Callithrix jacchus: one gene and its partners. The protein of the gene in region 1 interacts with the protein of each later gene in a pairwise test. Links are inferred from orthologs where the notes say so. Each region holds a gene or a part of one and is shown in the gene's direction. Other genes may lie near its edges. The genes, in order: FATE1, SEC22C, SLC7A1, SMIM14, BNIP2, TMEM11 and SLC38A1.

Region 1 (4,191 bases):
CCCAGGAATGCAGGCAGGGACTACATCAGCTCTGCTTCCCAAGAGCTCGGCCCCAGCACTGGACAGGTGAGATGGGGGCAGGGGGCAGTCAGTCTCAGACCAAGCAGCCCTATCTCAGCTAGTCCTGGCCCCTTCTTCTCTGTTTCCCTCCCTCCCTCCCTTTCTACCTATCTCCCTTCCTCCCTTCCTCCCTCCCTCTTTTCCTCCTTTCTTCCACCTCTTCCTCCCACTTGGCCCAGGGACTCTGGGGGAAGAGGAGGCTATTTGGAAAAGGAACCAGGACAGGTTTATAAAGGATTCCTTTTACAAATAGCCTCCTATTACCCCAGGGGCTCTGGGGTTGTTTCCTAAATGAAGGGTTCAGCATTGGTGGTTGTAGCAATCAGGGTTTTCAGAGAAACAGAGCTGATAGGATATATGTATGTATGTATGTATGTATGTATGTATGTATGTATGTATCTACATATGCACAAATATAGAGAAATTTATTTTAAGAAATTGGCTTATGTGACTGTGGGCCTCACAAGTCTGAAATGTACAGGACAGGCCGGCAGGCAGGAGACTCAGGCAAGAGTTGACCCTGCAGTCTTGGGGTTGAAATGCCTCTTCTCTGGAAACCTCAGTCTTTGCTCTTCAGGCCTCTCAGTTGATTGCGTGAGACCCACCCACATCATCGAGGATGAGTCTCTACTTTATTTCAAGTCCACTGGTTGTAGATGCCAATCACAGCTACAAATTGCCTCATCAGCAACACCTACACGGTGTTTGATGGAATCACCAGGGGCAAGTGCCTGGCCCAGGTGACTCATAAACCTGACCATCACAGTGGTCTAGTCAGTAGGTAAGCTGAGGGAGAATTGGAACTTAGAAGGTGCAGGGCCTGAGGCCCTTGGGGTTCTAGTGGCTGCAGTCAGGTCACACCTCTTTCACCCTTCCCTCCTTTGGTTCTCATGGCTCCTGCCTAGGCTGACCGACTTCAGAAAAAGGCTGCCTCCTGTGTTTGGGGACTCTGGATATGGGAGGTAGGATATGCTCTCCAGAGAATCCCTTTTGAAGGCATGGTATGGCCTGGATTGCTAGGACCTAACTCTGCTGTGGCCACTGTGTGGCTCTTGGACCCTGTGCCAATCCTTGCATCTGCCTAGAAATGATGATGGGATCCCCCATGAGCTAAATCTGGAGATCCATGAGCCAGAGCAGTTCTCACAGGCAAAAGCTTGGAGTTGTATCTCTTCTAAGCTGCTTACAGAGTTGCAGGGGAGAACGCCATGGACCCAACCAATTAGATACAATGGGAACAGAAGGTACTCAGTCCAAGGCCTCAGCCTAGAGAGGGAGTGTCACTCCACCCCCAGGTCCTACTATATCTTCCTTGAGCTCCTGTCCCTGGAAGAGGCGATTTTCTGAGTGTGACTCCTCTGTTTCTGGCACCCTGCACATTTTTAGCCATTGCTTACAAGTGAACAGCTGGTTATGATGGCAGGAGGCCCTATCAGCACCAGGGAGGAGGTAGAAATATCCCTGGCTGAAGAACTGAATCATGGAAGCCAAGGGCAAAACCAAGAGCACCTGGGGATAGCAGGTGAGGATCCTCTAAAATACCACTTGGCTATAGCCAACTCTGTAGATACGTGTCTATACCTGTGCATGTGTGTGTTGGAAAAGGTGCATGTGTGCAAGGAAGTGTTTGCACATGTGTGTGTTGGGGAGCTTCGAGGATTTGTGGGTTGATGATAAGGGAGGTAGGGAAAAGGGAGCATTTTTCCTACTGTCTCCCACTTGTCCAAGCCACCACCATGTCTGTTGCAAAATACTCAGAGAGCTCAAATTACAAGATCAGAGATCAATTCTCTCTCCCAATGCTCTAATTCATTTCCCTGCCCTTCAGAGGAAAGTCCAAACTCCACAGTCTATAAGATAGTATCAGCCTCCTCAAAACATTTCATGCTATGATATAGACAGAAAATATCATTTCTATAGCTCACAAAAGGGCCAAGATCACACTGCATTTATGTTTGTTATTACAATGCTGCAAGCGTGCTTATTCCCCAAAGACCTTGCATTTGCTGTTTCTTCTGTCTGGAATGTGCTTTCCCTCAATTTCCCAGGGCTGGGTCCTTTATTTCTTTCAGGTCCCTGCTTCAGTTTTTGTCTCCTACTTTTTAGAGGGAGCCCTTTCCTTCTACTATGTTACCATGTTTTGATCGTTTATGGAGCCTGTGTCTCTCTGTCTGCATTTGCGAGGATAGATTACTTTCTGCTGTACACCTGTCATTCCCCCTTATACACAAACAGATGGTCAGTTCTTTGAGAGCTGGAATCTTGTTCTTGATCATTGCTTTCTAAGTGAATAGAGAGTAACCTAGTCTCGAGCTCAGCCATCAGGAAATGCTTGATTAACTTTTGAACAAATGAACAAACTGAGGCCTGGGATCAGCTGGTGGATAGTGTTGAACGGGTGTTGAGTGATTCCCGAGAAGGCTGTGGCCTCTGCCTTCTTTTATGCTGTGTTTCGTGTCCAAAAAGCCCTGGTATAACTTCTGTGGGTGCTCCTGAGGCCTCTGTTCTTCTCTCTAGAAGTGATGGATCATAGATCTCGGTCCCTCAGTGTCCCCCAGAAGAGGCAGAAGGTGGAATCAAAAGCTGCAGGCTCTGCTGAAGCCAAACCAGTTTGGAATATGACTGCCACCCGGCCCAAGAAAATGGTACTGTATGGGGTCCTCAGCATAAGGTGGCCAGGTTGGGATTGGGAGTACTGTTTGTAGGGGCTCTTGCCTCACCAGGTCAGTCAGGGCTAGACATTGACTTGGGAGGAAGAGAAAGCTCCTGTGTTCCGAGCTGGCAAATGAGGAAAGGAAGGTCCAGTTAAAGGTCACGGTCATCCTTTCCTATACTAGAGGTTCAACCTTGGGAGTTCGGAATTCTTGAAACAAATATTGCTTAGGGAGTAAATAAATACTTTACTTTGTAAATCTATTGCGTGAAATAATGCTTTCCTGTATTTAAAATTATGTGTGTGGTACACGTGTGTGTATACACACAATAAGTCAGGTGAGGCTCCTATCCTTTCTGGCTGTTAAGAAATCCAGTCAAGTGGCCTGGCATGGTGACTCATGCCTGTAATCCCAGCACTCTGAGAGGAGGAGATGGGCAGATCACTTGAGGCCAGGAGTTCGAGACCAGTCTGGCCAGTATGGTGAAACCCCCATCTCTATTAAAAATAAAAAAATTAGCTGGGCATGGTGGCACATGCCTGTAATCCCAGCTACTCAGGAGGCTGAGGCATGAGAATCGCTTGAACTCAGGAGGCAGAGGTTGCAATGAGCCAAAATCATGCTACTGCACTCCAGCCTGGGCAACAGAGAGAGACTCTGTAAAAAGAAAGAAGGGGGTGGGGGAGAGAGAGAGAGAGAGAAGAAGCAAGGAAGAAAGGAAGAAATCCAGTGAAGTGAATCTGACAATTTTGTAGCCAATGCTTTTAAGCTACATTCAATATGGGTGAAGAAATATTCTAGAACAAATAGTGGCTATACTGCTGCAAATGATATTGAGAAAAACAGTCATTTTGGAGGGAGAGGGAATTCTGACTCTTCTGGAGAATTAGGTGAGTTCCACAGTTCTGTAGCCAATCCTTTTAGCTAGCTACATTCACTGTGGGTAAGGGAAAGTTTTAGAAAAATTGATATGCTGTTGCAAAGGCTGCTGGGAAAAGGCAACAGGATTGGAGAGGGAGGGAGGACTGACTGCTCCAGGAAATAATGTGAGTCCCACGGTTCTGTGGCCAATTCTTTAAGCTACATTCACTGTGGATGTTGAATGTTCTAGAAAGATGCTGGCCACATTGTCGCAAAGGATACTGAAAAAGGCATTTATTTTGGAGAGAAGGGAGACCTGACTGCTTTAGGGAATCACAAATCCCATCTTTCTGTAGCCAATGCTTTTCACCACATTCAGGTTGGTGAGGAAAAATTAATAAAATTTTAGAAAATGGTGGTTTTTACTGTTACCACAGAAAAGTTTGGAAGTTACTGGGAAAGGGAGGGAGACTTGATTGCTGAAATGATTTGTTGGATGGCCCCAGGGAAGATTGAGAAAAAAGGCTTCCAGGTTTAAAGATTTCCTGGGAATAAAAATAGGTCAGATGTTGATCTGGCTTCCTGTGTCCAAAGACAGAAGCCAAATCAAGCTGCC
Region 2 (4,192 bases), on another chromosome or scaffold:
AGAATTTGCCTTTCCTCTGCCTTTTTCTTCAGTCTGCCCATATGGGATAAGGACAGACCTTCCTTACTCAGTCCATTGATTCAAATGCCAGTATCTTCTGGGAACACACTCATAGACTTACCCAGAAATAATGTCCCCCAGAGATCTGAGTATCCCTTAATCTAGTTATGTTGACACCTAAAACTAATCATTGCAACATCCTAACCAAAAGTCTCGAAGATGCCTCAAATTCATCTTGGCAAAGCTGGAGCTCTTGATCAATCTTCTCTCCTGTTCCGGTGTTCTCCATATCTGTGCATTCCTCCACCAGCCATCCATTCATTCAAGGCTGACCAGGGGCATCATGCTGGAAGCTACTTCACTGCCCCTTCACATCCAGCTCATCACCAAGTCCTGTTGATGTTGCTCCTACATTTCGCGGCAGCCTGCTTAGATCTTTCTCTTTACTCTCACCCCAGTCCACACTCCAGTTCCATTCTCTCTTGCCCAGATGACTGCACTGGCTCCCAGGCCAGTCCCACCATAGCTTTGTTGAGACTTCTCCATTTTGACACGCACTTTAGCAGCTAAAGTGTGTTTATAAAATGCAATTGTGATCGGTGTTGCATGGTCCTCAACTTGCCACTATGGCCATAAGACCCCACACGGTCCGGCCCCTTCTGCTCGCTCTAGTGGATCTCACTCCACTCCGTTGCTCTCTAAACTCTGAGTTTCTTTTCTCTTTGCGGTAGAATGTACACAACCATGTTTTAAGTGTGCGGACCTGTGGCATTTGGTACACTCACGCTGTGCGATCATCACTACTGTCCATTTCCAGAATGTTTCATCTTTTCCAGCTGAAATAGGCACGAACTCTGCACTCCGCCCTCTCCGGGTTTCTTTTCATCCCTCCAAGGAGCTTTGCTGCCTTCCTCAGGGTTCTGACATACATGCTGCTCTCTCCCCTTTGCCCAGCCGGCCTCCTGTGATTTCCACACCAGCCCAGAAGCGTCTGCAAATTCCCTCAAAACCCCTGGTCCTCCCTGAAGAGCAGTTTGTATTTATACAGGGGTTTGGTTGTTGGAAGGGTGCTCTGCCCCTCCCCTCGTCTCCCAACACAGTTTTTCCACGACGCTTGGCACACAGCAGGTGCTCAATCCTTGCTAAAGGAAGAAGCGGACGGACTCCGCCGCCTCATCTCCTCGCAGCCGGTCATCCATCTCCCGGCGCCTCCGCCCCAGCCTGGGGTGTGTCCCCCTGGGTCGGACTTTGGCGCCCCGTCCAGGCTGGCAGCGGTCGTGCTCTTTGGTCTGCCTATCTCGGGCCTCCCGCCCAGCCGCGCGGACCGCGGAACCCACGCCCCGGGCGTGTCGCTCTGTCACGCGGAACCTCCCCGCCTCCCGACGTCAGGCCGGTTACTACCCCGGCCAGGAATCGAGCTCAGACCACGAAACGTCCTCTCACCCCCGGACGTGAGAATTACCGGCTTGGACCTCAAACCGTCGCGGTGCGAGCCGGGAGGCGGGAAGAGAGTCGGGAGGCGCGCGCCGCAGCCACGCCCCGTCTCCGGCCGGCTCGCAGCTCTTTAAGAACCAGTACGTTCGCGCCTCCGCCAAGACCGGGCCGTGGAGGCGCGCCGGGATTGGTCGGTTTGGGTGCGGGCGTCGCTTAGCAGCAGCCAGTGGGGACTCAAGACTCGCGCACGCGCACCGCCGCCTACCTGCGCCTGGGCCGCCGGTGACCTGGGCCGGGGCCGCCCGGTCGGCTGAGGTGGCTGAGGAGGCGGCGGGTAGCGGGCGGGCGGGCGCCGACTTCCGAAGGCCGCCGTCGGGGCGAGGTGAGGGTTGGCGGGCGGAGGCGGGTGCCGCTGCCCGTTAGCCGAGAGCAGGCGGGGTCGGGTGTGGCGCAGGGCGGGCCCAGAGGTGGAGGCGGTGCAAGGCCCGCCCCGCCTTCAGGCCGGGCCTCGTCCATGGGGCTCCCCGCGGGGCTTCGCTGGGCTCCCTGGAGTCCTCCGTCCTCTTTCTCCCGCCAGCCTCTGCCCGGGCCCTGGGGCCACCCAAGGCGCGCGCCTGCAGGAACCCTGCGCTGGCAGACGGGCGCCCAGTTGGAAGAGATGGGGAGTGACGAAGGGGGCGACTGTGTGTTTAAGTGTCCGCGAAGCTCCCGGAGCGTTTCGCGTCTCGACAGCGGACTCCCCGTAGCGTGTCGCGACCCGGGACTTCAGATTCCCAATACACGGAGCCTCTCGGAGCGCGGGGCGCAGGCCGTTCCGTTCCGGGTCGTGTGTTCGTTGCAATTTACACGTAGACCCCCAGAGCCAGGAGGATAAAGCACTCGGGGGGCGGGGGGGCGGGATTAGGTTTGTAGCAATCCAAGCCACGAAAGACTCTTGCCAGTGGTGGGAAGTAATTGGCGAAGTTTGTGACGTGGTCGGAAAAAAAACGCAGCTCAGAACCAACAGATAGGGCAACATTTAATTACGTTTTGCAGAGAAGAGCTGATCCGGCTAAAGATAATTTTAGTAAAATGAAAAATGGAAGCAGTTGGAAGTGGTTTAACGTTGCTAGGTAGAACTGAATGAACGGTTTTCCTCTGGAAAGGGCATTTTGGACCATGTTGTTAATAGCTCTGATGTAAGTGTTTGTGTTTGCAGCAGAAGCCCTCTTGGAGTCCCAGTGGTTTTTGTTCTTAGAATAGCGTAGAAGTCACCTACATTCAGAAAGTAGCATGGTGAGAGAGAGAACAACCCGACTCCAAGGCAGTTCCGTGGGCAAAGGACAGTTGGATCAGCTGCAGCCTCAGGCTCCTTCCTCCACCAGCAGGTCTCCGATTACCTTATTAGTGTTGTAAGAAGAAGAAATTATTTTTACAAAAAAAAATTATTTTAGAGAAAAGGAGTAGCTGTAGTCCCAGAGGGTGGACTTACAGAAGCAGGATGTGATGGCAAGATGGCAGGCTTTAGGGTATTTGAAGTAAGGAAGTCTGGCTTTGAATCTGGCTCTTGAGCATTACAGCTGCAGTTTTCCTACTTCTCCAGTGCAGATTACGTCTACCTTATAGTTACAAGCATTTAACAACCGTATCAGGGTAGAAGCTACTGTCAAGTTCAGTTTCCTCCCCCTCAGTTCCCAACAAACGGCAGAACTGATCTCCACCCTCCTCTTCACTCCATCCCCAAGCAACTTGGAGCCTTAATAGAATCTACACATTTGGTCAACAGTTCTCAAGTCCTGTGGCTGAAGGTGAATTCAGTAAGGGTGACACAACTCAGTTTTGTCTTCTGTATTGTGCATTTGAGTCTTCTGTATTCTGTATATACTTTATGGTAAGTGCTTGTGTTTGAATATTTGTGTCCCAAATGAAGCCTTTGTCCAAATTCCTATTTTACAAGGTGCAGTCATCTCTCTCTCTCTCTCTCTCTCTGTACATGTGGTAGGGATTTGAGGAGGGGTTAAGGGTAGAAGGTGGAAGGAAAATCAGGAAGAGTAGCCTCCAGCATAGGCACAGAGTCTGTTGAACAGGGATAATGTATGACATGAGCAGTTTATAAACAGGTGTCAGGAAGAGGATTTAGGAAATAACGGAGGCAGATTAAAATATGTTGTTATAAAACCTAGTAACACGGATGCTGTGTATTTGATTACTACTTCACTCTACTTTTAGACAAATTTCATTTGTATAAATTTTCTTTTTTCCTTTCCAAGTACAGATTTATTGCAGAAAAGTGTTCAAAATATAGATCAGAATTATGGCAAGGGATCTGTAAACCTGCATTTCTTGTTTCAGTGAGCAACAACAAGGCAGCCCTCAGGTCATTCATTCATTTGCTTTGCAGTGTTTACTGAGTGTTTCCCAGTACGTGCCAGCAAGGTGGTAGGTAGTGACATCCACGTCCTTGCAGATGGATCCCGTAAGGTCTGAAAGACATTCTAGTGTCTCTACGAACATTCTGAAGCTGCCTTCGTCCTTGTGGAATTGATTTTTTGTTGGTTTTTGAGACAGGGTCCCACTTTGTTACCCAGGCTGGAGTGCAGTGATTCAGTCACAGCTCACACAGCCCTTCTGAGCTCAAGCGATCCTCCCACCTCAGACTCCCGAGAAGCTGGGACCACAGGTGTGCACTACCATGCCTGGCATCTTCATTTTTATTTCTTGTAGAGATGAGTGTCATTATGTTGCCCAGGCTGGTCTTAAATCCTTGAACTCAAGCAGT
Region 3 (3,500 bases), on another chromosome or scaffold:
CAGGCTCGGCCCTCCGACCAGCCACATACAATGATTTACTCCAGGACGCTTGGAGTTTTAAAAATAAATTGATCCAATTAAATCACACAAACAGAATTTCTCAAATCCGTCAGCCTGCAGCCACATTCCTCTGGCTCTTGGTGCCAAATAGGATCCTGGTGTTCCTGCTTTCTATTTCTGTCCTTCTTTTTAGCTCCTTATACGTAGTTTTGTGGGAAGTGGCCTAGTATCTTTAGCATCTGAGGGCCACTGCCACTTCTCTCAGGGTATTCCTCGGGGTTGCTCATGGCGGAGTTCCTGTTGCCTGGAAACAGACCACGGAGGGTGTTCTCCAGAAGCAAGAGCAGGAGGTGACCTTCCCAGTCTCTCCTCTTCGTCTGCAGTGTGCAGCCTCTGACTATCTCCTTCCCATTTCATACCTCATGTCCCAGGCAGCTAACTTTGTAGTTTTATAGAAACTAACTTTGCAGAACGTGGGTTGGTGCATTGCCCTTTTGCTCTAAGTGGATAATGGTTGGTCACACAATACATTTCTTCCCAGGTATCAGCCAGAGCAACCTAACCTGGTATACCAGATGGCCAGTACTTCCGATGAGTTAGATCATGCAGACCAAAATGAGCTGACTAGCACCAGTGATTCCCAGTTGGGTTTTTTACCGGAGGCAGAGATGTTCTCCTTGAAAACCATACTCTCACCCAAAAACGTGGAGCCTTCCAAAGTCTCTGGGCTAATCGTGAACATTTCAACGAGCCTCATAGGTAAGAGCTAGCCCTTCCCTGGGGCCTTGCTTGCTGGCATTGCGTGGTTTCTAGGCAGTGGAGCTGGAGTTGGGGGAGGGTGCCAGAGAAGACGAGCGTCTGCCTTGCTCCTGGACTGAGGCATAGTTACTCTGTGCTAACTGCTGTTGATGCCTTCGGAAATGGAGCCTCTCTCTCCCCAAGTTTTGGGGAGAGCAGCACATGCTTGTGGGAAACTGAGAAATGGCTGAGTTGCAGCTCGCTCTGTCTCTTCTTCCCCCTTAGCTGTTCTCATCATCACCTTCTGCATTGTGGCCGTGCTTGGAAAGGAGGCTCTCACCAAAGGGGCGCTGTGGGCAGTCTTCATGCTGGCAGGGTCTGCCCTCCTCTGTGCTGTGGTCACGGTCGTCATCTGGAGGCAGCCCGAGAGCAAGACCAAGCTCTCATTTAAGGTGAGCAGCTTGGCCTAGTGGGCCTGTTGCAGGGAAGGAACCCTGGTACACAGACCCCAGCTCTGCACAGGCTCAGCTGGGCCCGGGTGCCCGACGAAGGTTTTAGCCGGCTAGTTCAGGCACTGGGACAGGGGCCCTGAAGGCACCGAGAGGACTGGACCCTCCTCCCCTGGCTCTCCGGTGGTGGGCCGCTTCTTGTAAATGCCTGCCCAGGTTGATTGCACTTTTCCAAGCCTTGGAGACAGGCAAGGCTTCTACATGTTTAGATTACACAAATAATAAAAAAGACCTTAGAGGTAAAATGGAGGTCCATCTTCTAGGTCCTTTCTTTAGTGGGAGAATCATAAGAGAGAAAAATCAGAATGGAGCTCACTTGGCACTCAGAGCTTAGAACCAAATCCCCACCTACTAGGATTTACCCTTGGGTTTGTGTGTGGAGTGGGGGTGTTGGGGTGTGGTGGTGGGCACGCACCCTCTCTTCCCCACGCTCACCCGACAGTCCCCATCACTCTCAGGTGTGCTGCCTTTTGCTAGACAGTGTTACTGAACTGTTGGAACTGGCGCCACTGCCGCGGATTGATGCCACCTCCTGTCTCTGCAGGTTCCCTTCCTGCCAGTGCTCCCCATCCTGAGCATCTTCGTGAACGTCTATCTCATGATGCAGCTGGACCAGGGCACCTGGGTCCGGTTTGCCGTGTGGATGCTGATAGGTATGTGATGCTGCCGCCAGCACGTCCACGATCCTGGCTTCTCTTGGGGGCCTCCCTTGTTTCAGGATTTATAACACAATGACACACATGCAGTCAGCAGCTTTCTCAGAGATAATGCTGAATCCCTGGTAGGTTGTGAGTCCTCTCCTCCCTGTTAGATACTTTTTGTTTCCATTGCCTCTTGCCCAAACTTTTTATTCTGTTGGGTAAGACCTTGATATTAACAGGAACAAGGTGAGGAGTCAGCTAGAGATAAGGTACCAGTTATTTTCACCCCAGACAGGAAAGTCTGGCCTGTGTCTTTTGGACCCCTGGCCTGCCCAGCACCAGATTGGTATGGGCACGAGGCCCAGGCAGGGGTGGCTGTCATGGGCTCCTCTGTGATGGCGTCTTCTCTGTGAAGGACGGTGCTTTGGAGCCTATGGGTCATGCCACTGGGGTAGGGGCTTCCACGTGAGATAGATCACCAGGGCTGGGTGCAGCCTGTAGGGCTGGCCGAGTCCCACCCCTCTGGGCATCTCACCCCAGGGGCTGGAGGGGAGGGACTCATTTCCTTCCTCTCAGCATCTGAGTGGTAGTGCTGATAGCCAGGGATGTGGTCCTTGCCATTGCCCCTCAGGACCATGTCCCCACAGCCTCCCAGACCCGTATATGCATGCTGTGGGCAGATGGCTGCTGCCTCATCTCCTAGGACCCTTGAGGGGTGCTTTTCCTCCAGGAAACACTTAGCGGCCCATTTTCTGCTGGCACCAAGGTGGGTCCTCATTCTCTGCAAAGTGCAGCCCATGTCTAGTTAGACATCTCCTAGAGCGTTTCTGAGAAAACGCTGCTCACAGCCCACTGTGGTCATTTCCGCAGGGCCTGGTGAAGGCAGAGGGTACCTTTTCCCAACGTCCCTGTAAAGTCCCCGTGTTCAGGAGCCTGAGCTCCTTTCCTGGGTTCTGCGTGTCTGAGTCCTTGCTTTGAGGCCTGCTTTCCTGTGTCAACCACACAAGGTGGCCCTGGGGCCATCTGGCCACAGTCCCCGGGCAGGTGGTTAGAAGCATAGGTCCTGGACCCACCCGAGTCCTGGATGCAGGAACAGGCTGTGGACTCCTGCGTGAAGTCCGTTCCCAGGGCTCAGTGTGTTGCAGTCCGTTCCCAGGGCTCAGGATGTCTCTTACAGTCTGATGGTCAGTTGCATGGAGGAAACGGGGCAGTGGGATTGTCCAGGCTGAGAGCCTGGAGACCTCCAGCACCTGCGGGAAATCCCGTCTCCATAGTGTACATCCCTGATACTCTTGTGGCCTCAGGGGGCATTAGGGGGTTAAGGTGAAGGACCCAATGGCTTCTGGTGGCCCTGGCCCAGCTGCTCTGTCTGCTCAGGAAACGCCGCAGCGTGAGGCCATCCGGAGGAATGTAGGGCTTTGCCAGATGTAGAGGCAGACAGTGGTTTTCATGTGGCAGCTGTTCCAGATGTGGAAAGGTCCCGAGGGCTGCTGGCTGTGGGCTCATGCCAGGCAGGAGCAGGCCGCCTGAGAGGGTTTGCTGTGGGGCTGCCCTGGGCTCTAAGCCCTGCCCGCGGTGGTGTAGCCAGCACTCTGTTCACACCCATCTCTCC
Region 4 (3,989 bases), on another chromosome or scaffold:
TCAAATCAGAGTAAGAAAGCTTGCAGCTTTCACCTCTCCGTCAAGACTGGCAAAGAGGCACTTTTGTGAAATCGTTGAGACTCACTTTTACTTCGCCACTTATCCCATTTTAATTAACGCTTGCTAATTCAAGGCTCTAAGAAAACAATACAGTTTTACATTTTGCCAAATTGGGAAATTTCCGGGGCCCCAAAAGTTTAGCAGGGAGACTCAGAGGCTAGAATGGGAGAGAAGGCAGCACCAATTTGGTCTAAAAAGAAGATTGTTCGGCCACACACAGCACCCTTATTCCAGTTCTACAACCAAAGCAACAAAGACTTGGGCCGGCTGGGTGCCTAGCCACAGCATTCCCTCCTACTTCCCCACTATCTCCTAACCAACAAGTCATCTTTGGTAACATTCACTTTATTTAGTTTGAGGCAAGGTCTTACTATCACCCAGGCTGGAGTGCAGTGGCGCGATCTCAGCTCACTGCAACCTTCGCCTCAGCCTGCAGAGCATCTGGGACTACAGGCAGGCACCACTACGCCCGGCTAATTTTTGCGTTTTTAGAAGAGAGGAGGTTTCACCCCGTTGGCCAAGATGGTCTCGCACTCCTGACCTCAAGTGATAGGCCCACCTCGGCCTCCCAAAGTGCTGGGATTACAGGCGTGAGCCACCAAGCCTGGCCACATAATCACTTTAATGTTCCTGTTGAACTTAATTTTGGTCAACCTTCCGGTGCAAAAACGTTAGGGTAAAGGGAATCAATAACTGCCACATTTGACATATTTTTGTAATCCTCATCTCCAATTTCCATCCGGGCCTGAGTGACCAAAAACACTCTACAGGGGTATCCTGTCTCAACAGACATCAATTTCTAACCACGTCTACCTCTACCAAGGTATTCTAAAGATTCTTAAGCTCAGGCAAAGGGAGACACATTAGAGAACACTCTCCGCCGCCAACGAAACAGAGGCTACGGAACATTTCCACCAACACCCGGCCTCTCCCCGTTTCCTTCTCAGCTCTCAGCCACGCCCCTCCCAACCGGAACTACATCCCCCGCGCTCCGCGCCCCCACGCAAAGCGTGGCGTAGGCGCCCGAAGTCGCTGGTGCCTGCCAGGCCTCCCGGGACGCACAGGACAGGTGCTAGTCGTGCGCATGCTCGGCAGGCGGGGCCGCTGGAGTCTCCAGGCGTGGCAATCTGTTGCGCTGCCGCCCTTGGGAGCCGGCAGATCCGGGTCTCGTGGCTAAGAGTGACGTGGTCACTCGAATCAAAACAGAGGAGGGGGAGGAAGCTGGCGGCCAGGAGCGGCAGCGGCAGCGAAGTCCGGAGCCGCCGCAGCCTTCCGGAAGCTCCAGGCGGTCTTTCTGCCGAGCCTCGGTCCCGGCCCCCATCCTCCCCGCCCCATCGATTGTTGTCTGGGCGGGTGAGTGTCTCCCCCTCTCCCACCAGCGTTTGCTGGCCCACCCTCCCCTCGCCCCAGTTTTAACTAGGGGCTCCTCAGGCTCTCGGGGACTGCGGCGGTTGCGGCGGAACCGGGCTGTTTCTCCGGCTTGGCCGTTCCTGGGCCGGGCTGGCGATTCTGCACCTGGAGAAGCCTTGCTGCTGCCCAGCCCGCAACCACCCCCCCCCCGCCCCCGCGAAAAGCCTGCAATTGAGCTTTCTCTGGAGGAAGTCTGAGTCGGGGCTTGGCAGGAAAGGGCACGGTAGCCCCGGGTGGTTTTATTTTTAGTATCAGATAGTCGACACGGGTGGAGGCGTATCATGGAGTAAAAGAGTCGGAGCTAGAAGGAAAAACTCACAGATCCCGAAATCCACAATATCTTGTTTTCCCGGCTTCCTAGCCCTTTCTGGGTACGGTGAAGTCACTGGGATGCGTCCTTTGTTGTGATAAATGAGATGAAAACGCTGCCACCCGGAAAGCGAGAGCTTTTAAGCCCCTATTGTGTCGCGAATTTAAAGGATCCCCTTTTTCTGTTTGTTCAGTAAGTGTAACCAAGGCTGACAGAACAGAGGTAGCAGCACCCTTTATTGGAACTAATAGTGTATGATAAACTGGTTACCGGCTGTATCCATGTTGCTGTTTAAAGGCAGACTTCCCCAAAGTGGCTGTTTATATGTGCTGGGATTTTAGCCGAGATGGTTTGTTGGCTGTAGAGTCAGTAGGATGTTTTCAGTTGCCCCAGTTGGCAAAACCGAGGCTGTGGCCTTAACAGAATGTCTTAGTTTTGCATCGAGAGAGTCGGATGAGCTCTATGCAAGTAATAGCTACATTTGCAGAAGAGATCTTCCAGTTTTTGTATGTTATTGTCAGAAACAGTTGGCAACTGTACATACTGTAACTTGGGAAGCGTAAGACCTCCCATGTGTTGGAGTCTTGAGACTCTTAGGAGGCATCCTCGCTGCCTAGCGCTGTGGAGGTTGTAGGAAGCTTGCATTCCCTTCCACCCAGGGTGACTGGCCGCGCAGATTCCTTTAGAGTAGCCTGCCTCCGAACTTGCCGCTCTCCGCGGCCCTCGACAGCACTGCGACCGACCAGAAAACTAAACCCTTTTGTCCTTTTTTAACATGGTTTTTAAAAAGATCACCCCCGCTCCCAGAACTCATTAATTGAGGTGTTTCTGTGGTCAACAGCAAATCCAGGAAGAGTTAGGAATTTAGATTATTTCCTTGAAGGGTATGTCCTTGTGGCATAGCATGGACCTCTTAATGAATCTTTTCTCCAGTGTTTGCCAGTGAGATCCTTATTCTTACTATCGCAGTTGGAATTCTGATTTAGAAGGAAAAAGTTTTTGAAGTTCTCTTTTTTTTCAGCTTTTTGCTTTTTATGCTAGCCTATAATATTTTTGGCTATACGAAATACTTTGTAATAGAGAAAACGTTGATAAAAGCAGATAGGATAAAGAAAAATCAATAATCGTGCCACCCAAAGTTCACCAAAATGTTAGTTTATACCCTTCTAAACTACTTTTTTGAATTTGTATATTTTATACAAATATGGTATCATACCACGTATGCTTTTCAGTACGTAAGTTGCTTTTTTTCACATTCTGTTTTTTGAGTAATAATTTGAAGTTTTGCAGATAGGGACTTTAGACCTTAAATTTCAGGGAGTATTCACTTTACAGTAGTGCCCCCTTATCCGTGGTTTCACTTTCAGGGGTTTCCGTTTCTATGGTCAACCGCCGTTTGAAAATAGAGTATTTTGAGAGACCACATTTACATAAATTTTATGATAGTATATTGTTATAAATGTTGTATTGTTAACTGTTATCAATCTCTTACTGTGCCTAATTTATAAATTTTATAGGTATGTATAGGAAAAAAGCATAGTCTCTATATATAGGGTTCTGTACTATATGAGCTTCAGGCATCCACTGGAGAGGTATTTGTTTTATAATTTTTTAATTTAATAGAGATGAGATCTCACTGTGTTGCCCAGGCTTGTCTCATACTTTGAGCTCAAGTGATCTTCTGGCCTTGGCCTCCCAAAATGCTAGAATTACAGGCATGACGAGCCACCAGGCCCAGCCCACTGGGGTTTCTTTGAATGTATACTTTGTGGATAATGGGGCACCACTCTATGTTTGCCAAACCATAATGATTAAAAGGATGGTTTTAAAAGGTTTCCTCACAAATCTCTATGATAATGTAAACTTTAAGAAATTAGACCATTCGTGGTGGCTATTGCCTGTAATCCCAGCACTTTGGGAGGCCGAGGCAGGTGGATCATGCACGTGAGGTTGGGAGTTTTCGAGACCAGCCTGACCAATGTGGAGAAACGCTGTCTCTACTAAAAATACAAAATTAGCTGGGCATGCTGGTATATATCTGTAATCCCAGCTACTTGGGAGGCTGAGGCAGGAGAATCATTTGAACCTGGGAGGCAGATATTGCAGTGAGCCGAGATCATGCCATTGCACTCCAGCATGGGCAACAAGAACAAAACTCTGTCTCAAAAAAAGAAGAACAAGGAAAAAAGCAATTAATATGCATTGCATG
Region 5 (4,092 bases), on another chromosome or scaffold:
GTATGGTCTGATTTGAATAGTTTACTTTGAGTACTCCGACCATGGTCTGTAGACCTGGGCTTTTCTGAGAACTGTTTGTAAATAGACTACAGAGAGATAGTAGAAAACTCTATAGCAATTTTCCGGGTAATTTTATGGATGTTAACCCTAACGATAAAAAGTTTACATTTGGACTTTGTGTGTCTTTTCATTTGTCTGTTTTATCAACTAATTGAAAATTTTTAAAAATTAATATATCATTCCCCACATTAAAGAGAAGCACTGCTGCAAAGCTGTTCACACTCGAAATTACCAAACTCCAAGGACGCTTCTGAGGCCTAGCTCCCCAAAATGAAGTCTCGGATATTTTTCCTCCCCTTATTTCTTTTCTTTTCTTTCTCTTTTTTTTTTTTTTTTTTTTTTTTTGAGATGGCGTTTTTGGTCTGTTGTCCCAGCTGGAGTGCAATGGCATGATCTCCGCTCACTGCAAACTGTGCCTCCTGGGTTCAAGTGATTCTCCTGCCTCAGCTTCCTGAGTAACTGGAATTATTGGTGTCCACCAGCACGTCCCAATAATTTTTGTATGTTTAATAGAGGTGAGGTTTCACCATGTTGTCCAGGCTGGTCTTGAACTTTTTTTTTTTTTTTTTTTTTTTAAGACGGGGTGTCACCATGTTGGTCAGGCTGGTTATGAACTCCCAACCTCAGGTGATCCACCCACCTTGGCCTCCAAAGTGAGCCACTATGCCCGGCCTGGTCTTGAACTGTTGACCTAGGGTGATCCACCCGCCTCAGCCTCCTAAAGTGCTGGGATTACAGGCGTGAGCCACCTCGCCCGGCCTCCTCCCCTTATTTCATTCATTTTATAATTCACATTGTTCACATTATTATTGAGCGTTGATAATTGCACCTATCGTAATGATACTGACACTTGCCCCTGTTGTTATAAAATTGCTATTGGTAATTGCACCTATTGCATTATAATATATTGATAGGGATAATTTCACCTACTGTAATGTTCCATAAAGAGAGGCAAAAAGAAAACAAAAATGACGGAGACTACAGGGCAGCGTCCCAGCGCACAACAAAGAAGAAACGCCTCGAGGCGCGGTAAACGCCACCAATAAGGACTCGAAGCGACGGGTCTGCCCAGAGGCGAGGAAGGCTGACGCGAGCGACAGCCCGGGCGGTCTGAGTGGGCCAGGGGGGTGCTGTGTGGGTTTCTAGGGGACGCCACGCCTCCGCCACCGCCTCCTCCGCTGCCGCGCCCGGAGGACGTCGGAGTGACGTCACTTCCGTCTGGATCTCTCACTGCTTCCGGGTCAGCTGCCGCCGTCGCCGCTGTGCCGCTGCGGCCGGGGGATTGGGCCGGGGTCTCCACCGCCGACCGAGGGGAGCGGGCTCCGCTCGGCGCCGCTTTTTGCGACCTGGCCGTCAGCCCCACGTCGCCGGCCTGGAGGGGCGAGGAGGACGAGGGGGCCAAGGCTTCCTCCGGGGTGAGTGCGGCCTGGGGGGACTCGGCACGGTGGCTCCGGAGCCGGTCTGGAACCGGCCTAGGGGCGCAGGTTTGTCGGGCGCTTACCCAAGACGCCCGGGGAGAGGAAACGCAGAAGGTTACCCGTGGTAGGGGGCGCCATAGAACCTGCTCGGGAGGTGCTTCCTGGATCCCCGCCCAGCGTAGGTCCCCGCCCTTGGCTCGGGTCCTGTTTGTATTTGGCAGTTGGGCCCCCACCCCACCCCTTTTCCGTTTCTGGTAGTTGTGCTCGGGATAGAACCTTGTGCCTCCCCCTCTCCCCCACCTTTACCCCGGTGTGGGTGAAGTGGCTGGGCCACGATGGTTCAGTATTTATGACCAGCGTCCGCCCTGGTGCAGAACAAAGAAACTTGGACTTCTGGTACGCCTTGTAACCTCGGGGAATAGACACGGGAGCAGCGTAAGAAATCCGGGCTTTATAGATCTTCCCGAGCGCGCTAAACCAAATCTAGAGTGTGTACGTCAAACGTCCAGTCCCCGCTGGGATCCCGACACCACCTTTTCTGTTTAAATACCTGGCACAATGGTTTGCATTTCTGGATGCATCTCTTGCCGCTGGAGAGTTACTTGTCTATCCTGTGAGCTCTTGGAGGGCACAGCTTTTGCCGTGTTCATCAAGATAGGCACAGTCTCCTGTTTCATCGAATGAATTATCTGATTGCATTTTAGTGTTGCTTTTTTCATTCTCACTTTCTCTTGATTAGGATCTCTGTCTCTCCTAATACCTGATTTCTTATTTTCAGTTAAATGTGTTATTTTTCTAACATTTTACTGGCATATCTGCAGATGTAGAAACAAATACTGTACTTTGTGAATGGATGTTTCCTCAGAATTGCAAGTGACGACGTTACCCAATTAAGTTACCCTTGCACACTAGTTTCTTGATCATTTTGCACATACTCGTCTTAGTTCTTGTTATTTTTCGGTTTCTCTAAACTCTATTCCTGGTCTTCATAATCTGTAGTGCAGCCTAACATAGTTGGGCTTAGACAGGAAGTATGACAGATCGATTTCTGCAAACGGAACTTGAACTGGATTATCATAAGTCAGTGCTATTATGGTCTTCAGGCATTACAATATCTTTGAAGCTAAGTGCCACCAAATCGGGCACTACGGGCTTATTCTGTATGCAGCTGCCAATGCATTGCAGACGGTGCGCTGTATTAGAGGCAGTTCTGGACTAGGTAGGTGGACCAGGATGTGGTTCCTCACATGTAAGATAAACTGAAGATAACACAAGTGTCATGCATCGCAAAGTGACTGGTTGGAACATGAGATGATGGATATCAAAGGGGTTAGTAAATGTGAAAAGCACTCTGGAAAAATTCTGTTCGATCTGGAGTAATGCTGGTAGAAGGAACAATAGGGAGAAGGGTGTCGGAGAAAGCATGTGTAACCAGATCCAGGAAGTCAAAGTTGGCTGGTAGGATCAAAGATGTCTTGTTACTTTGGGCGGCCAAGACAGCGGATCACCGGAGGTCGGGAGTTCGAGACCAGCCTGGCCAACATGGTGAAACCCCATCTCTACCAAAAATACAAAAATTAGCCGGGCCTGGTGGTACATCCCTGTAATCCCAGCCACTGGAGAGACTGGCACAGCAATCACTTGAACCTGGGAGGCAGAAGTTGCAGTGAGCTGACATTGCAGCACTGCACTCCAGACTGGTTCAGCGTGGGCTACAAAGTGAGACTGTGTGTGTCCCCGAGCCGCCACTCTGGTGGAAAAAAGAAATGCCACGTTGTGTTCACATGCTATGAAGCAAAATACTAGTGTAATACGATGATAGTAATATTCCACGATTATAGTTTTATGTTACAATTAATTTTTCTGACTACAGCAAACTAAGGTCTCAGCATTTTCTGTATGTTCTGCAATGATAATTCAGTAAAGGTCACTTTCGTAGGCAGCACCATCGTCTTTTGCTTTATTTTCACCATTTTGAGAGAAGTCATCGCCACTCTAGTTTTTCCTCTTACATTTTTGTTAACGTTTATTTTATTTATTTATTTATTTATTTATTTTTTGAGATGCAGTCTTGCTCTGTCACCCAGGCTGGAGTGCAGTGACTCGATCTCTGCTCCCTGTAACCTCTGTCTCCTGGGTTCAAGCGATTCTCCTGCCTCAAGATTACAGGCAGGCACCACCATGCTTGACCAATTTTTGTATTTTTAGTAGAGATGGGGTTTCTCCATGTTGGCCAGGCTGGACTCAAACGCCTGACCTCAGGTGATCGGTCCACCTCAGCCTCCCAAAGTGTTGGGATTACAGGCGTGAGCCACCGTGCCTGGCTTGTGTTAACATTTCTGATAGAGCATCTTATTTTATTGTTTAAAAACGATATACCCCTCCCCTCATGGAAGCAATGACAAGCAAGTATATAGGATTTTTCTAAGGATGTTTGGTGATCGCCTAAATGTACAGGCTGTTCGTTAAAAAGTGAACAGAAATGTTTAGAATGAAACCATTTTGTTTAAATGGGGAAGTGAAAGACTTGCCTGGGCATTTCCATCTGCCACTGTAATTGATTTCAGCATAAATAGTCGTTTCTGGCACGTATTGGAGCAGCACTGTTAAACTG
Region 6 (4,011 bases), on another chromosome or scaffold:
ACTCACGAGGCTGAGGCGGGAGAATTGCTTGAACCCAGGAGGCGGAGGTTGGGGTGAGCCAAGATCGCACCATTGCACTCCAGCCTGGGTAACAAGAGTGAAACTCCATCTCAGAAAAAAAAAAAGACTGAATGAATGAAAGTGTAGTAAGAGAAGTAGCAGATTACTTTGAGCACCAGCTAGGACATGCCCTTCCACTGGCTACCTTCGTACAGCAGGACAGAGGGCTCACGGGAGTCTCCACTTTATGACAGCCCTCAGGAACTAATTCCCACCACTCAGGCTGTGCTCTCGGTAGGTGCTCAGCTAATACACACTGAGTCAATGAGGCTATGATCCTTCCAGACAACCTCTGTCCATTCACAGTAACCAGGAGGCAATATTGTGAGGATCTTGGCCCAAGCTGGCAAACTGGAAGCAGATGGCGATACAGAAGGTAAGGGGAGAGTAAAAGCTGGAGAAATGGGAGGGTCGTTAGGGCCACAGTTGTTTGCGCATTTACATTGACTCTGTGCACTAGACCTGCCTCCAGTGCTTCTTGAGAGGCACAATGGCAGAGTGTAATCCCTGCAACTGGTCAGTCTGGACTCAAATCCCAGCACCCTTCCCGGCTGACAGTGTGAACAAGTCCTCTGTAAGTTGATTTCCTCATTTGAAAAATGAGATTTTTGCCGGGCACGGTGGCTTACCGTAAGGTAACAAGAGTGACCTTACGGGCCGAGGCTGTGAAGGGCAGGAGGGTCGACGCGGAGGAGCCGTGCGCTAGAGGCCCGCAGACAGAGCAGTGGCCCCCTGGCCAAAGACGCGGCCTGGCAGGACGAGGCTGCAGGGCCGGGCGCCTCCACGCGGCGCTCTGGGAGTTGTAGGCACTTTCCTGTCCTCTCTCCAACTGCTACTGGCTCATGAAACCCGAGGACATACCGGCGGGTAGGCGCCGGTGACTCCCAGGCTGAGAACGCCGGGAACTTCAGTTTCTTCCTAAGTGCTCGAACCAGGACTGCTCCCCGGGGCCTCGCGCCCTCGCAGAAGGACTACCGGCCCCAGCGACCCCGGGGGCGGGGCTTCCGGCGCGCTGACTTGTGGGCGCGGTAGTTCCGCCGGGTCCGGCTTCTGCCCGCCGAGCGGCCCACGATAGCGGGCCGGACTACACTTCCCGTCGGTTCGTCTGCTCTCCCGATGCCGCCTTGGCGCGAGACGTTGGCGAGCAGAGTGTCTCCAAGATGGCCGCTTGGGGAAGGAGGCGTCTTGGCCCGGGCAGCAGTGGCGGCAGCGCCCGAGAGAGGTGAGACCCAAGGGCTTGTTGCTCCCGGTGCAGGCGGCTTAGGGACCGGAGAGCCCAGCGCGGCTTCCGGGGCCTGCACCAGGCTTCCTGCCCTGGCTCTCCGGACCCCCGCCGGGCATACGGGGTTCCAGTTCCGGAGGATCCGGGATCCGGGTGGGAGTCAGGCCGAAGGTCTCGGCGGAGAGCTTAGGGGAAGGGAGGTTACCCGAGCTGGGTAAGGTGGGCAGCGGCCATGCGGGGCGGGGCCCAAAGCCAGGCTCTGCGGAGAGGAACTGGCGCCTCGCGCAGGCCCCAGGAACCTGCCTAGCTGCCCGCGGGCCAAGCGGCGGCAGAAGCACCCTCCCCGCTTGGCCACGCGCGGGGCCATCTCGGCCGCGGCCCCCGACGTGGCGAGGAGGACCGGGCCCCCGGAGAGAGAAGAAGGGGAAGCCTTCACAGAGAAGGCCGGCCGCTGCAGGGGCAGTTTGATCCGCACGTTTACCAGGGAGCTTTAGCTCCCCATCCGCTCCATGTGTCTCTTCCGGGCCCGGAGCCGGCCACTTCCTCGAGGGGGCTATTCTGGAGACTTTTGGATTGTTCTGTGCGAGCGCTCCTGCCGTGGAAGTTCTTTAAAGTTACCTTTACTAATGAATGGTATGTCGCTAGGGAGCTAGGAGCGTGTTTCTTCAAAGGGGGACCTCCGTTTGAATAACCAATTTCTGGATGAGGTTGGAGTAGTTTCCGCATTTCATGTTGAAGTTGCAGTTTTTGCTTCTAGGTAGCAGCTTCAGCTAGTGGAAGTCACTAGAAGCTGTTCAGCCAGTAGAAGTTTGGGAGACCATGTATACTGGTGGAGCCACCTGGATTAATTATCCGCTAAAGCTTGATTGGAATAGCAGCCGTTAGCAAAAAAGGAAAGTTTGGGTTTTGCTGGGTCCCCCACTCCCCACCCCACCCCACCCCACCCCGTCTTTCTTTTGGTGAGGATTGTCTAACAGAAAAGTTCTCTTCCTCTCTACTATTCCGCATTATTCCTTTTCTATAACTGATTCCATCCTGTGTTCATTGCTATTGCTTGCAGATGGCCTTCCCAGCTAGGAAGATTATTCCTGTTTGGCAGTTGCCATAGAATCCTTTAGCTCGCCTTTTATTCTTGAGCCCGGTTATCCAACGTTGCCCATTCTGCTTTTCCTCTTCCTTGGAAAAGCAATGGCAAACACTTTCGTTTTTCTAACTCCTGCCTGGTATTTCTTAGATTGGGCTATTTAAATGAGTTACCTCACTGGTTTTCACACGCCCTTAACAAAAACATTTTCAAGATATTTAATGCAAACAGTAATAGGAAATAACGTGTTTAGAAAACTCAAAGAAATGGCCGGGCGTGGTATCTCAAGCCTGTAATCCCAGCACTTTGGGAGGCCGAGGTGCGTGGATCACGAGGTCAAGAGATCGAGACCATCCTGGGCAACATGGTGAAACCCCATCTCTACTAAAAATACAAAAAAAAAAAAAAAAAAAAATTAGCTGGGCATGGTGGCGCGTGCCTGTAATCCCAGCTACTCAGGAGGCTGAGGTAGGAGAATTGCCTGAACCCAGGAGGCAGAGGTTGCGGTGAGCCAAGATTGTGCCATTTCAGTCTGGGTAACAAGAGCGAAACTCCGTCTCAAAAAAAAAAGAAAAGAAAAATGAGATTGTTGATAATAACAGTATCACTTTTTTATTGGACAGTCTCATTCTGTTGTTCAGTCTGGAGTGCAGTGATGTGATCTCGGCTCACTGCAACCTCCACCTCCTGGGTTTGAGTGATTCTCCTGCCTAAGCCTCCTGAGTAGCCTGGATTACAGGCGCATGCCACCATACCCAGCTAATTTTTGTGTTTTTAGCGGAGATGAGGTTTCACCACGTCGGCCAGGTTGGTCTTGAACTCCTGACCTCAGGTGATCCACCTGCCTTGGCCTCCCAAAGAGCTGGGATTACAGGCGTGAGCCACTGTACCCGGCCAACAGTATCACTTTCATAGGGTTGTTGTGAAGATCAAGATGTAGATCACTCAAAATATAGAACAGCACTTGGCACTACATAATAATCAGTTGTTACTGTTACCTTGCGCTGTTTTTCTAAGTTCCATATATGTATCACCTCAGGAAATACAGCAATTCTCTGAGGGGAGGTACCATAATAATATCATCCCATGACACAAACCAGGCAGCTGAGAAACATAAGCTACACCAGCAGCCCCTGAGCCAGAAGAAGTACGTTCTGGAATCCCTAGTGTACCCTCTGAATCACCACACTGATCCAGAGAAAAGACAGGCATATCTGCAGGCAGGGTCATACTGTGGAATTGTCCAGAGGTCTCCAGCACGGGCTATACTGACACTTGGAGGCAGGGCTGTATGACCCAACTGGAAGACCAGGTACTTTCTAGACACCGGACAGGTACAAGGTCTTGAAGCATAGAAGTTGGCTGGGAGGCAAAAAAGCATTTTAGGCAAGGCATAGAACATCTGTGTACCTACAAACCCTCTGAATTTACTAGGCTGGTAAGTTCCAGACAGGAAAGGTAAGCAGTTGAATTTGGAGAGTGAGGCAATTTTCTAACTAAGGAGGGGCCTCTGGATTGTGCTGAGTAGGAATCACACACCATAGGTGATGAAGGACCGTGAGAGGATTGTAAGCAGCTAAAATTGTGGTAGAATGTGAGCTGGAAGGAAATCCAAAAGAAACCTCAACAATGAGAGGGTTGCCTT
Region 7 (3,975 bases), on another chromosome or scaffold:
TTTTTGAATTATGATTCACCTTCCTTTTCCTGTTTTGATGAACCATGAACATGAGACTGAACCATCCCGGTCAGCAAAAAGCTCGCGTTTCCACCCCGCAAATTCATTCACTCTATAATGACAGTCTAATTGGCTGAAGCGCAGGTGGGATTTCCTGTCGCCATTTTAAGAAGACACAACTCCTATGCAAGGAAATGCCCAGACAGTGAAAGGGGGCTGTGTCTGACACAAAGAGTAAGCGGGGAAAAAAAAGGGAACCAGGCCCAGTTTCCCCCGCTCCCCCCATCCCGCTCGCTCGTCCCCCGGACTTGAAGCGCCCCAGCTCCGTTAACCTGGCGAAGGGCGCGCCAGGTCCTTCGGGTGGAACCAAGTGGGGTCACCAGGCACTCCACGACCTAGCCCCCTCCTCTTCACGCCTAGACAGGTGCTCTCTCGGCGCTCAACAAATCCTCCTGGTCGCTTCACACTCAGTTCCCAAAGCAAAGCTCCACAGGGCAGACCTCAGGGAGGGCTCGCCAGATCTGCGGGTGCTGGATCCGGAAGAGGGGAGGTGCCTCCCGTTCAGGTTAGGGACAAAGGGTTTCCAAAGGTGCCCGAATTCCCACCTCCCCCTGCCATTTCGGTCCCCTTCTCGCCAACCCGGGCCATCTGCCGGCCGTCCCCAGCGCCAACCCTCTGCTCCAACGCTACGCGTAGTCCCGGGCGCTGCCCGCGGCTCTCGGGGCTGCGCTCGGACCCGCCACTCCGGCGGCCATCCTCATGCAGCTCCCCTTCCCACAATGCAACTCCCTCGCTCCTTCGGCCCCGGCGGGGCTCTGGAGTACCCAAAACGCAGGCCCCAGCCGAACGCACAGCCCTCCTGTCCTCCGCCGGTGTCCCTTTAGCGGCCGCACCCCCATCCCTAAGGGCTCGCATTTTCCAGCTGCCATCGCCGCTGGGTTCCGAGCACGCCGCCGGGCCCTAGGAGGGCGAGGGCAGGTGCCAGGCGGCGCGCAGCCTTCTCTCCCAGTGCCACCTTCCGTGCGCCGGACACCCGCGCGACCCGCAACCCCTCCCTCACCCTTTCCCCGCTGCTCAGTCTCCGTCAGCCGCTGTAGCTGCATCGTCAGGGAGCGACGAGAGGGAGGCAACAAGGCGCGGCCGCCAGCAGTGGCACCATGTGACGGGCACGGCTCAGTGACACGCAGCTTTGGTTAAAGAGCGGGCGCACAGGAGGGGAGGAGACGGGGCGCGGGACGGGGAGGAATGGCCTGACTGTCCCCGTTCAACCATCACAAGCCGTGGTTGCTGAAGGGCGACGTGCCCCACAGTAGGAGAATGACTCCGATTCGTGACCCTCAGCGCCCGTGCTTGTCGCTGTAAGTGCGGGGCCGGAGAGCAGAGTGTGAGTGGGGGTTGCTGGTGAGGGGAGATTCTGATGCAATCGGCCCGGAAAGGAGGAGTAGAGCCGGGCGAGCGCGGACTGGGGCAGCCACGCCACTCCGCCTGAAGGTCGCCAGGAGCCTCCGCCCTTCACCTTCCTCGGAAATCCGCCAGGCCACGCCAAGCTCCCTGCCCAGCCCTCACTGACGGGGGCCACCTTTTCCCGGCGCCACAGCCAGACCTTGACACAAAGGACATCAAACTGCCGAGGGTGAAAATCCCGGAAGGGCGGACACCTTCACATCGCCTTTCGCCACCTTTCCCCTTATTTCCGGAGGTAAGGTGGTTTTCAGTTCCCGGGGAGGGCTGGGCGAGCGGCGGGGGGATGTTTAGATGTGAGAGAAGGCGGTAACGTAGAAATCATCCCTGCCGGCGTGAAAGCAGAGAAAGCATGGGCTGTGCCCGAAGCGTTTGGATGTTGCTTTTAGGAGAAGGAAAGTCCGGGTCCCCTGTGTTTCCCGAATGCACGCGGTAGCGCGAGGAAGCGCCAGGGCCCCCGAGTTGACCTTTCCGTGGGCTGTGGCTTACTTTTTGGTTTGTTTTCCTGTGGCTTTGGTCTGTTTCCCCGTGGCTGTGGCAGCGTGTGGGACTAAATGTGGTTCAATTTTTACAAGGGCCAGGAACGACGCAGGTCTGTAGCGAGAGCGCAGCTTACTTGAGGGCGCGACCGTGTTCTAGGAGTGTTTGAATCCTTAACCTTTGAGGGAAATTTCCTGTGTCCGCAAGGCCCAGAGGAGAGTGTGTGATGTCCCAGGGGTGCTGCGTGCGGTCTGCTGGGTAGCCGCCGCGGAGCATCGGTAAACGGGAGCACGTTTGCCATCCCTCCTGGTGTTCTCTGTCCCTTTGTAACGCGGGGAAATAGGAGGGCGCGGGGAGAAATTACTAAGGGATGCTTGCAGTGACTTACTGTCCTTTCCTGCCCTGAAGAGGTTTTTTTTTTCTAAAATGCAGAGCGTGACAGGGGATAGAGGTAGTGTTTTTTCTCGAGAGCCGGAATCTGCTGGAGCCAGCGAACAAAAGGCCACCTCTTGCGCGGGCTTGGTCTCAGACTGTGCTCGCTTCTAGTCCCACCTCCTCCCCAACCCCCGGCACCTAGCTAGCTTCCCTAAACATTGCCACAGAGGCCTTCAAACGCGTGGGTAGGTGTTGGGAGGAGAGCGCACCTTCGCCCTTGTGCGAGCTCCTCGCCCCCTAAATTATCTACCTCCCGGTGCATGGGGCTCCTCAGCACCCACTGGGACCCTGCAGGTTACCGGGCTGCCTGGGCACCGATTCCCTGCCAAATCGCCCGCCGGGGGTTTGTGCTAAACTGTAGTCAGAGAAGGCACAAGTGCATATGGGAGCAAAAGGAATTTCGCGGTTTCCGCGTTACGCAGTTCCCAGTGCCTTTCACAGGCTGCCTTGGTCTGGGAAAGGTGGTGCTACAATTGAGAGTCCTTTGTCTTGCTCTGCGGCGCGAACCCGGGATTTTAACAACCCTCTTTCTCCGTTAGAAACCTAACTCCCGCCAGGATCATGTACTTTCTCAGAGGAATCCACGGTGATGTGTGTAGTAAAAGTGAAAAAAGACGCCTCTGCTTGAAAACGGTATTCATTTGCGTTTGGAAGGGGTTTTGACATCTCTGCAGTGGGATTTTACATTTTTCAATATAAAGGGGAGGAGGAAAATAAATTTATGGTTTGCAGAATGCACGGCCCAGCGAGGGTGTAATTTGTCACCTTGATAAAAGAAACTGTGCAGCAACTCGTGCTTTTTCTGACGTCAGAAGGACAAGGGAAATAAAACCCGAGCTCGGTGTATGGCTGGCCTCGTTGTCAAACATCTCATGCCCGTTTGGTACTCCCGAAATCTTGCAAAACAGTCAATTCCGTTGTACTGATATGGCATAGACCCCGTGGATTTTCGTTCGACCCCAGCCTCAAAATAGCCTTGCTCTTTAGAGTCACTTCAGTTCTCAGTATGTCGTAAGCAATTGGAAACCAGCCTAGATTGGTTTGAGGTATTAATCTTGAAGTTTATTTGCTTTTTAAAAAAATGTAGCCAAGAAACATTTTCTACAGAGGGCTTACTGTGTGACTGGCAGCAACTAACAAGATTTGTTTTGCCTTCTGTGAAGTTTCTGTTCTCGGGGAGAAACAGACTATATAAATGTAGGCATATAAATTTCAGGTATTCTTAGTGCAATGAAGAAATAAAACAGGATCATGTGATGGGGTAGGATGCCTGAAATAGAGTGACTCACCAGGAGGGCCAGTGTGAGGGGATAACATTTGTCCTGAGACCGGAATGGTGGAAAGGGATCAGCTATTTTCATAATTGAGGGAAGAAAGCCAGCAGAAGGAACAGGAAGAAGGAAAAACAAGTACTTACTGCACTCTTCTTTGACTGCAATATAATTGAGCTGATGTGATGAATAGATTTTAAAGATGTTTTGGATTCTTTAAAACTATATGTATGTTGTTTACATAAAGTTTTTACAATGCTCCATGAATTAAGGCCATTTAATGAAAGGAGCACCATGATTAGAAGGTCTGACATCTGGCTGTTGCTGC

What was found.
Region 2: the proteins of FATE1 (region 1) and SEC22C interact in binary tests that used the Homo sapiens proteins (3 or more experiments, as listed by UniProt). The two-hybrid records come from large-scale screens. The link is inferred for Callithrix jacchus from reciprocal best matches to the Homo sapiens genes FATE1 and SEC22C.
Region 3: the proteins of FATE1 (region 1) and SLC7A1 interact in binary tests that used the Homo sapiens proteins (3 or more experiments, as listed by UniProt). The two-hybrid records come from large-scale screens. The link is inferred for Callithrix jacchus from reciprocal best matches to the Homo sapiens genes FATE1 and SLC7A1.
Region 4: the proteins of FATE1 (region 1) and SMIM14 interact in binary tests that used the Homo sapiens proteins (3 or more experiments, as listed by UniProt). The two-hybrid records come from large-scale screens. The link is inferred for Callithrix jacchus from reciprocal best matches to the Homo sapiens genes FATE1 and SMIM14.
Region 5: the proteins of FATE1 (region 1) and BNIP2 interact in binary tests that used the Homo sapiens proteins (3 or more experiments, as listed by UniProt). The two-hybrid records come from large-scale screens. The link is inferred for Callithrix jacchus from reciprocal best matches to the Homo sapiens genes FATE1 and BNIP2.
Region 6: the proteins of FATE1 (region 1) and TMEM11 interact in binary tests that used the Homo sapiens proteins (3 or more experiments, as listed by UniProt). The two-hybrid records come from large-scale screens. The link is inferred for Callithrix jacchus from reciprocal best matches to the Homo sapiens genes FATE1 and TMEM11.
Region 7: the proteins of FATE1 (region 1) and SLC38A1 interact in binary tests that used the Homo sapiens proteins (3 or more experiments, as listed by UniProt). The two-hybrid records come from large-scale screens. The link is inferred for Callithrix jacchus from reciprocal best matches to the Homo sapiens genes FATE1 and SLC38A1.

What each region holds. Positions count from the first base shown.
Region 1 is NC_133524.1:148,013,389-148,017,579, forward strand, and holds the start of FATE1 (fetal and adult testis-expressed transcript protein), read left to right. Parts: upstream 1-1,391; 5' UTR 1,392-1,473; coding exon 1,474-1,582; intron 1,583-2,577; coding exon 2,578-2,705; intron 2,706-4,191. UniProt on the Homo sapiens protein: Involved in the regulation of endoplasmic reticulum (ER)-mitochondria coupling. Negatively regulates the ER-mitochondria distance and Ca(2+) transfer from ER to mitochondria possibly implicating it in the regulation of apoptosis.
Region 2 is NC_133518.1:80,324,041-80,328,232, reverse strand, and holds the start of SEC22C (vesicle-trafficking protein SEC22c), read left to right. Parts: upstream 1-1,392; 5' UTR 1,393-1,574; intron 1,575-1,677; exon of another isoform or gene 1,678-1,816; intron 1,817-3,016; exon of another isoform or gene 3,017-3,221; intron 3,222-4,192. UniProt on the Homo sapiens protein: May be involved in vesicle transport between the ER and the Golgi complex.
Region 3 is NC_133506.1:148,722,719-148,726,218, reverse strand, and holds part of SLC7A1 (high affinity cationic amino acid transporter 1), read left to right. Parts: intron 1-541; coding exon 542-759; intron 760-1,023; coding exon 1,024-1,190; intron 1,191-1,791; coding exon 1,792-1,900; intron 1,901-3,500. UniProt on the Homo sapiens protein: High-affinity, low capacity permease involved in the transport of the cationic amino acids (arginine, lysine and ornithine) in non-hepatic tissues.
Region 4 is NC_133504.1:154,165,133-154,169,121, forward strand, and holds the start of SMIM14 (small integral membrane protein 14), read left to right. Parts: upstream 1-1,189; 5' UTR 1,190-1,413; intron 1,414-1,789; exon of another isoform or gene 1,790-1,894; intron 1,895-3,989.
Region 5 is NC_133509.1:6,442,726-6,446,817, reverse strand, and holds the start of BNIP2 (BCL2/adenovirus E1B 19 kDa protein-interacting protein 2), read left to right. Parts: upstream 1-1,292; 5' UTR 1,293-1,475; intron 1,476-1,714; exon of another isoform or gene 1,715-1,874; intron 1,875-4,092.
Region 6 is NC_133506.1:64,771,995-64,776,005, forward strand, and holds the start of TMEM11 (transmembrane protein 11, mitochondrial), read left to right. Parts: upstream 1-1,211; 5' UTR 1,212-1,220; coding exon 1,221-1,282; intron 1,283-4,011. UniProt on the Homo sapiens protein: Plays a role in mitochondrial morphogenesis.
Region 7 is NC_133510.1:28,969,213-28,973,187, forward strand, and holds the start of SLC38A1 (sodium-coupled neutral amino acid symporter 1), read left to right. Parts: upstream 1-1,175; 5' UTR 1,176-1,699; intron 1,700-3,975. Other genes in the region: uncharacterized protein LOC103795192, read right to left, coding at 640-915. UniProt on the Homo sapiens protein: Symporter that cotransports short-chain neutral amino acids and sodium ions from the extraccellular to the intracellular side of the cell membrane. The transport is elctrogenic, pH dependent and driven by the Na(+) electrochemical gradient.